Drosophila melanogaster: one gene and its partner. The protein of the gene in region 2 purifies or fractionates together with the protein of the main gene of each other region. This does not show direct contact. Each region holds a gene or a part of one and is shown on either strand. Other genes may lie near its edges. The genes, in order: mei-P26 and wuho.

Region 1 (5,232 bases), 2.9 Mb from region 2:
TGGACAGGCTCCTCCAAAGTAGTCATTGTCCTACAAACAAGTTAACTTTGATTGATCAGGAATACCAGTAAAGCCGAATATTATTCTTGAATAACTACTACTCACCTTTCTTTTGGCGCTGCTCTGATACAACAAGTTCTTGTCTTTTGTCGATTCAATGGATTCCTTTTGTTTTATTGTTTTTGGGCTGCTTTTCCCGTTCCCGTTCCTGTTTCCTGATTGCAATTCCGTATTTCCTGGCTCCTAAATTCTGGTCGCTGCTTGCTTTTCTAGTCCTTTGCGCTTGCTTGCATTTGCTGCTGATCCTATTCCTGATCCTATTCCTGATCCTAATCCTGCTGCTGCTGCTGCTGCTGCTGCTACTTCTGCTGCTCCCTAATGTCCCTCCGCTCTCCCACGAGGGCCATTCCAATTGAGGTCCCTTCTATTGCCGCAAGAAAAGGCCAACAATAGTTCGTTTCGTCGGGGTAAAAATGAGCGAAGGACCTATACAATCCACGCGCACGCACACACACACACACTGATGCGCAACAAACACCCCTTCTTCTCCTCCGCTTACTTAAAATGTATTGCAAATTTGTAAACAAATTTGCGAGCCTCCTTCGGCTTTCGGCTTATCTTAGTTTTTTGGTTTTTGTTTGGTGTTTTCGATTGTTGTTGCTGATTCGCTGCTTGTCTTACTTTTCTAGATATTTAGATATTGCCGAATATTTTTAAAGCATTTGGAAACTGTGTATTGCAGTGATCCTCCTCCTGTTTGATGTGGCTGTTCTTTTGCTTCTTCTTGTTGCACAAGGACGAAATAAAATTAAGGACGAACGAGGAGACGACAACAAACACTGACGAAGAACACGGCGATGCAAATTGGACGACAGCGCCGCTCCTTTTGGTATTTAAAAAAGAACAATGGATACAAAAATCACGTTAATCGGTGGCTAGAAATTTACAAAAATGTACAAATTAATAAATATAAAACTAAAACAGAAATATAAATTCTGTAACGCAGAACAAAATATATCAAATATAGATGAACCTTACTGACATATGGAGAAAGGGAATTTGGCATTAAATCAAATGAAACATTTCTTTTTTACCCTTTCCATACGCAGTGCAACCCCCTTTAAAACGCCTCTGGCTTTTGCAACAGCACACACACACTCACACACTCTGCTGCATACTTTCCGGATGTTAGCAAAGTATATTGGCCATTTTTCAGATAAATCTAATTTCAAAATTAACGTAACTCAGCAAGAATTGGAAATGCGATTCTTATTGATATACAATAGGTAATAATTTTCTTATTCATTTTGAAGTCCTAAGTCAGTTAAGTAAAAAAAATAATAAAAATATGATTAGGTTTGAAAACTTTTTATTGATTACCAAAATTGTGTTATTTAGTGAAATATCTATATCTATCTATATCTATATCTATAATTTTATGTCATCATCTGACAAGAATTGTTGCCTTCTTCCAATTCGACTGCGACGGGACCTTAGGCGTAGTCCAATTCAAAACGCTTGGCATTTGTATAACGCTTTCCCATGAAATCGAATTTGAATTAATATAGCCGGCAAGAGCTACCAGGATGGAATGGAATAATGCCGTTTTGAGAGTTTAATGGGAAAGGATAAGAACTAGCAACATAGATTTCGTGCATTGAATGTTTATCCGATCGTAGGTTATCCAATTAATGTCTATGTTAGGCCACTAATGGAGAGAGTGGGGAAGGGGGTGGTAGTATCGGTTCCCTTTTGCGTTAAGTTTACGTTACGTTTTTCTCCGTTATGTGTAGCTATGCGCCACACACACACACACACACACACACATCAAGCTCTTCTTTACTCCTGCTTCCTGCTTTTGCTACCCGTTCACGCAGGCGCGTTCATAGTGATGACCTTTCTAGCCATTTATCCGCTAGCTGCGCAAAAAAATAGCTGCCCTAACAAGGACAAGCTGGGGCACAAAGTCCTTGAACAACTAATTCAATTGGGGCAAGGCAATTGCCTAAATAAATACGTTTAAATCAGCGGAAGTGAGCGGTAGTTTAAAATCTACTTTAGTTTTGTGCCCCCTCCAAACACTCGCAACCAAACACCCACATGCCGAATCAGCTGCATACACACAGACACAAGCGCCTACAAGCGAACACACGTGGTAAACGGAATTTAGTACCGCTGCTTTGCCCCTTTTTTTCACTGTTCTGTTTTATTTTGCTTTGCTTTATCGGACCTGGATGATTTTGTTGGTCCCCCTATCGACTTTGTCAATTCTGCGCCGCAGCTGATATTTTCTTGTCCATTTCCACGTACTTTTTGATTTATTTCACTTTTAAATGTGTGCCGCTCTCTCTCTTGCTACTCGCAAACGGTTATTTTCGAGTGCAGCGCTGGCTGGGCTGCGAAAGAGATAGAAGAGGAGCGATAAGCGATTGAGAGAGAGAGAGAGCGAAAAATCGGTTATGCGAAGAAAAGTTCTCAATTTCGTTCGTATTGGTGTGCGCAAGCTCACTCAACGCGGCAAAAAATGAAATACGAATACGAAAAACGGCACCCACACATACAGAATACAAAAAAAAACACACACACACACCATGTGAAATTAAAACTGAATTCCCTTTTTCGATTTCGGAATAAACACTATTCTTGACCGACCGGACGAACTGTCGTCGATTTAAAAGTTTTAGTTGGGGGGCGCGGGTGGTGGCTAAGACAACTCTCGACGGGGTCGCGGGGTGACAATCGACAAGGGGGGGCACTGCCGTTGTCCTTGAACGCAAAATTTCCACTTGACTACCGCCCAGGTGGTCGTGGTCAAAAGGCACTCAACACACACGCCTGCACATGCATACACACACACTCTCACAAACCGAACAGCAGACAGGAGGCGAAAAAGGTCCTTGAAATGCCTGAACACTTCACTGTCTGTCCGGCGTTGTCAGCTTTTACTGTCCAATTTAAACTGCTAACTGCTTTTTCGCAACTGTCACCACCTTATATTTAAATGTAGTTTTCGTTTTCACACGTTTTTTTGTTGGTTCTTTTTGTTTTTTGCTGCTCTCTTTTGCTTGTTACGTTACGATTTTATATTTGCCCGTCCCACACAAACGCCTACACGCAGGAACACAAGAGAACACTACACACCACAGGCAGTTATATCTACAGTTACCGTTATTCACTGATTCAGCGAATTTAGCACGTTCTGGGACATTAAAAACAACCAGAAGACCGCCAATTTGATTGGAGTCGATAATTATTGGATTAAACAAATAATTACTTTACTGCTCCCGTCGAACTTTTGTATGCAGTGCAGCTAGGGATGATAGATATATATTTCAGCACAGCCACGTATCGATAGTTTTTGAAAAGCGATGCCCTGATATCGATAGTTATATTGAATAAACGCGTATCGGTCGCCAAATATTTATTTTAAGTTTTCATTCCGCAAAGCTTACATCTTTAATAAGTATAATATAATTATATATATATATATTTAAATAATAACACAAAATACGCTTTATTATTACATGTTACATTACATTTAAATGTCAGTTTGACTCATTTCCGCATGCATATTTTGCATATCAGTTAAATAGGGTAAAATGATGGGATTAATCCCATTCCTTGTCACGCATTCCAACTCGTTTATAATATTATCCAATCTGTCCATCAATATCCGATGCTCTCTAAGCATAGAATTGAATTGATCTTCAGAATTCTGCTGCGATGCGGGCACGTGTTTAGTATCCAATTCCGATGCGTGCACGTTTTCAGTATCATTTTCCGATGCGTGCAGTTTTCGATTGAATTCTGATGTATATTCAACTACCAAAGTCTTTATTTTGACAAAGAAGTTGTTTTTAAAGTATGTATGTTCCATTTGCGTCTTTTCGTTGCGAGTTTTAATAGTATTTTCCCCTTTGGAAAATGCATCCCACAAGCTTTGCAATTTGGATAGTCGCCCTTCAAAATATCCAGGTTTAGATTTCCGTTGAGCCGGAGCCTTTTTATAATTGCGAATAATGCTTTGAATCTTCTCGCCCAAATTCATTTGCTCGGCCAACAGCGCACTAATGCTCGACGATCCGGCCATCTTAATTGAAAGTCTCTTAAAATGGTAACAGGAATATCAACAATTCAATGATACTCTAAGCTTGGCTCTTTTTGTACTGCCTTGAATTGTCGCTCTACAAAAGGACTCCAGTTATTTCTGAAAGCGCAGGTAATTTTAGGAAGAACGTGTGTCAGGTAGGTGGTATTCCCAGATTAATATGCAGATGGCCAATCAGTTTTTGTTTTATGGCCTTACCGTGTACCGCTACAGGTAAGCTCTTAAATTTATTTGTGCACCTTTTTATTTCGGGGAATTTTCTATCGAACACGAGTAAATTCTCGAGCGTTTAAGATCAACGCGCCGAGCACACTTCTGGGTATTTAAGGAGTTTTAAGCATATGCAAGCCGGTCACACGACGACTATCGACACTTATCGTCAGCGTCTATCGATTAAACTTGCACGTTTCGCCCCAAACATATACATTTCATTTAAAAAAGCACACTTAAACAGGAACTTTCGTGTGGATAGCAATCAAATCATGTCCACCGTGAGCGACCCCAACAGTAGCAATCCGCCGGAGAGTGCGGGGAACATTCGGCCGGAGCCCATTTTCCGGGAAATCAATGCGGAGCAGACCGACGAGATAGTGGAGGTCGAATCCGCCTGCATGAACTGCTTCGAAACGGGAGTCACTCGGCTGCTGCCCACCAAGATACCCTTTTTTCGCGAGGTGGTGCTCATGTCCTTCAAGTGCGACCACTGCGGCCACATCAACAACGAGATGCAGTCGGCATCGGAGATCCAAAAGTCCGGCATTCGCATCGAACTGCGAGTGCAATCCGTGGCTGATCTCAATCGGCGCGTGGTGCGCTCGGATAACTCCAGCATCAGCATACCGGAGATCGAGCTAGAGATTCCGGTGCAGTCGCAGAAGGGCGAGGTGACCACCGTCGAAGGCATCATCGAGCGGACGATAGCCGGCTTGTCGCAGGATCAGGAGAAGCGGCGCATCGATCATCCGGAGACAGCTGCTTCAATTGAAAAGTACATCGAGCGATTGCACCGCCTAAAGGAGGTGACAACACCCTTTCAAGTGCTTCTCGAGGACATATCCGGCAATAGTTTCATCGAGAATCCCCTGGCACCTGCCGCCGATCCGCAGCTAAAGACTTCGTACTTC
Region 2 (4,177 bases):
ATGTTCAACTATGCCCGCGACCATCAGCCCTGCATCATTTTCATGGACGAAATCGACGCTATCGGTGGTCGGCGCTTCTCCGAGGGCACCTCTGCCGATCGCGAGATCCAGCGCACCCTGATGGAGCTGCTCAACCAGATGGACGGCTTCGATTCGCTTGGCCAAGTCAAGATGATCATGGCAACCAATCGTCCGGACACCCTCGATCCTGCCCTTCTGCGTCCGGGTCGCTTGGACAGGAAGATCGAGATTCCGCTGCCCAACGAGCAGGCTAGGTAAGCTATATTCCCACATTGATTGGCTCTTATCTTTGATGTCTTCTTGGTGAAATATGAATAGGGATTTCTCAGATTAGATACTTACATACTTTGTCATACTGATGGTAAAACCCCAACTCCTTTTAGGTTGGAAATTCTCAAGATTCACGCACTGAAGATCGCCAAGCACGGCGAAATCGACTACGAGGCCATTGTCAAGCTGTCGGACAACTTTAATGGCGCTGATCTGCGTAATGTCTGCACGGAGGCGGGTCTCTTTGCCATTCGGTAAGTGCGAAGTTTCCACCGCTTGATAAGCTCCCTAAAATGTAACTATTCTTGCAAATCCAGTGCGGAGCGGGAGTACGTCATCCAGGAGGACTTCATGAAGGCGGTGCGCAAGGTGTCGGACAACAAGAAGTTGGAGAGCAAGCTGGACTACAAGCCCGTCTAGGAGCCAGTGCTCGCCACCGCCCCCCATAGAGATAACCATACACCATTTACACACATATACAGATATATATATATTATGCCCACAACGGGCCTGTCACACAAAGTCCGTTGCTTCTTCTCCATATGCTAATTAAATGCTATGTAAAGATTAGGTTCATTTAATTTCCTTTGGGTATGTGGGCGCCCGGGGATTAGCCGCACTTCTGCTGCTGCTGCTCCTCGATGCGCCGCTTCTTGCGCTCCAAATAGTCGCTAACGTTGTCGAAGCGCTTCTTAAACCAAACGGACAAGTCCTCGGGAATGAATGGCGGTGCGCCCTCCTCGTTGGCACCCAATCCGTCTAGCACCATCTTCAGCCAGCCCTCGGGCACGCCGCTGCTCGCCGGCTGGCCAGTTGCGATGTCGTAGACGCGCAAGCTTAAGCGTTCGTTCTCTGCGCCGGTGATGTAGATCCGGTCGCTGGTTAAAGTAAAGTTGCTAATGCTCCATGAGCCCGCTTCGGCGCAAACCAGTTGTGTGGCCGTCACGCTCCAGGTGTCATCGGAGCTGCGCTCCAGGCGATACAATCCCAGGGCGTCCACGTGCTCGTAGAAGAGCACCGCCGCCTGGAAGACCTTCTCCGGCTCCAGCTGGCGTACCAATAAACGAACCGCCGGTGCTGGTAGCTCGTGCTGCAGCAGCTCTTTGCCCTGAATGTAGTTCCATACGCGCAAGGTCTTGTCCCCCGAAGCGGAGGCGATATGCTGCTCCGTGAGCAGTGCCAGGCCTGAGACAAACTCCCTGTGGCCCAGGCAATAGCTGTGGATGTCAAAGGTGGCGGGATAGTTGGTCACGCGTATCTTATCATCCCGATCGCAGGTGATGATATGCTGCTGGTCCTCCGACCACAGGATGTCGTATACCACACTTAAATGGCCCAACAGCAGGCGCGGCGGAGCCTCCACCTCAACGCAGTCGTACTGATAGCAATCGCCAGTCTTGTCTGTGACCAGAATGGAGCTGCTGTCGCTGCAGAAGCGCAGGGCACTGGACGCCCGGGCCAGTGGGCGGGCGGAGAGCAGGCGGGCGTTCTCCGGCCGTGAACGATAGAGCAGGAGAGCTTTCTGTTTTCCACTGGTGGTCACGGCCAGCAGCTGTCCGTCTGGCGAGTAGGCCACATTCTGTACCGATGTGCTGGTGGCACATCCCAAACCGGAGGCGCTGGCAGAGGTTCCGCCCTCCTCTGGCTGATTGGCAAGCTGTTGCTCCTTGCCACCCGGTGCCTGACCGGATGCGGCTGTGGCTGTGGATGCGGCTGCTGCGGCTGTACACGATTCCTGCGACTGGGATGTATGGCCTTTCAGGCCAAGGTCGGGCGGCAGCTCGATCTCCTTGAATATCTGCAGGTCGTCGGGGTTCACGAAGAGCACCCTGCGGCCATGGCCGAGCACGATTTCGGGTTCCGCGAACGAAATTGTTGTGCACATTCTTGCGACTCGATTCGATAGCCACCGATAGGTTTGCACAACTACTGACTACTGGTATCGACGAGCGATAAGATCTGCTCACCAGGGCTGCACGCTGCGGTATGACCAATTGATGCATTCGTTAGAATGTAGTGTGACCCTGTTGCTGCCAACGGCAGTGAGACCGTATTATTGGCTGGAAAATAATGCCCGTGAAATTTGTTAAATAGAGGGGATTATACGGATGTATAGCGAGGAAGTCCAATTCATCCATTAGCCCGTGTTCGTGTGCGTTTATGCTGTGCGTGTGCGTTTGTGTGAGTGTGTGTGCAGCACGAAACCGGCGAATCCCATGCGAGTGAACGAGTGGGCAGGAGGAAGCGCTGCAAAAATCTCATCATCAATTATATAGGCCATTGGATTGCGGGACTTGGATTTGGGCCATGAAGAGCGTGCTGATGGTGGCCGAGAAGCCCTCGCTGGCGGCCTCGCTGGCGGGGATTCTCTCAAACGGACGCTGCACGGCCAAGCGTGGTAAGTGCCAGTAGATCAACACGAACTCCCAAACTCAGCAAGCAACCGAAATTGTATGTAATCCTCTCCAGGCACCGGCAACGGCTGCTCCACGCACGAGTGGACGGGCAACTTTCGGAACGAGGGCAGCGTCCACTTCCGGATGACTTCCGTGTGCGGTCATGTCATGTCGCTGGACTTCAATAAGAAGTACAACTGCTGGGACAAGGTGGATCCCATCCAGCTCTTCGGTTGTGCCACCGAAAAGAAGGAAACGAATCCCAAGCAGAACATGCGCAAATTTCTGGCCCACGAGGCGCGCGGCTGTGACTATCTGGTGCTCTGGCTGGATTGCGACAAGGAGGGCGAGAACATCTGCTTCGAGGTGATGGACGCCGTGAAGCATGTCATCAACAATGTGTACAGCGATCAGGTGACATACCGTGCCCACTTCTCGGCTATCACGGAGAAGGACATCAAGAAAGCCATGGAGACGTTGGGGCATCCCAACGAGAACGAGGCCAAGTCGGTGGACGCCCGGCAGGAATTGGACCTGCGCATTGGCTGCGCCTTTACCCGCTTTCAAACGAAGTTCTTTCAGGATCGCTACGGTGACCTGGATTCGTCGCTGATCTCCTACGGTCCCTGCCAGACGCCCACGCTCGGTTTCTGCGTGAAGCGGCACGACGACATCCAGACCTTTAAGCCGGAGAGCTTCTGGCATCTGCAGCTCCTCGCCGGCCAGCCGGAAGTCACGCTTGAATGGGCGCGCGGTCGGGTCTTCAAGAAGGACATCGCCATCATGCTGCTGAATCGCGTCAAGGAGCACAAGAAGGCCACGTAAGACCTAATCATGGCTGCTGTCACTACGGCTAGTCTATAAATAAGCATGCTTTCGTCACTTTTCCGTTTGCTTATAACCACTTTTTGGTCACTCGAAAGACAGCTGACTCTTTTTTTTCCACCCATTACGCCATTCCTTCCAAATCTGGTGCCTACATCATCTATGTATCTGCCAGAGAAGCAATCATGCCGAATTAGCATAATTTCTGTTTGTGTTCATAACGAATGCAAACAAACAAAATGCTGCTGATCCCCAGAATTTAAGAAAGCTCACCAAGAATTGACTATCTTTTCCCTTTCCATCTAGTGACCACTTCCTCTCTTTTCTTTTTTCAGTGTGGAGAGCGTGGCCAGCAAGGAGGCCTACAAGAGCAAACCACAGGCACTGAACACCGTCGAACTGATGCGTATCTGCAGCTCCGGACTGGGCATCGGACCCTTCCAGGCGATGCAGATAGCTGAGCGCCTGTACACGCAGGGCTACATCAGCTATCCGCGAACAGAGACCAATCAGTATCCGACTAACTTCGATCTGCCGGCCGTGCTGCACGTGCTGAAGCCATCGGCGGACTTCGGTGAGGAGGCGCGCTCCATTTTGGGCGACATTCAGACGCCGCGAAAGGGCAAGGATGCCGGCGACCATCCACCCATCACGCCAATGAAACT

Evidence for each region.
Region 1: the proteins of wuho (region 2) and mei-P26 purify together in Drosophila melanogaster (affinity purification with western blotting, with the first as the bait; one study listed by BioGRID). This does not show direct contact.

What each region holds. Positions count from the first base shown.
Region 1 is NC_004354.4:9,161,333-9,166,564, reverse strand, and holds the start of mei-P26 (meiotic P26), read right to left. Parts: upstream 3,311-5,232; 5' UTR 3,167-3,310; intron 2,403-3,166; exon of another isoform or gene 2,231-2,402; intron 884-2,230; 5' UTR 106-883; intron 46-105; exon of another isoform or gene 31-45; 5' UTR 27-30; coding exon 1-26. Other genes in the region: CG44532 (uncharacterized protein), read right to left, coding at 3,539-4,090; Zpr1, read left to right, coding at 4,591-5,232.
Region 2 is NC_004354.4:6,286,153-6,290,329, reverse strand, and holds wuho (wuho), read right to left. Parts: upstream 2,231-4,177; 5' UTR 2,177-2,230; coding exon 902-2,176; 3' UTR 768-901; downstream 1-767. Other genes in the region: Rpt4 (regulatory particle triple-A ATPase 4), read left to right, coding at 1-275, 405-545, 609-711; Top3beta (topoisomerase 3beta), read left to right, coding at 2,599-2,689, 2,761-3,508, 3,848-4,177. UniProt on the Drosophila melanogaster protein: Required for the Mettl1-dependent formation of N(7)-methylguanine at position 46 (m7G46) in tRNA. In the Mettl1-wuho methyltransferase complex, it is required to stabilize and induce conformational changes of the catalytic subunit.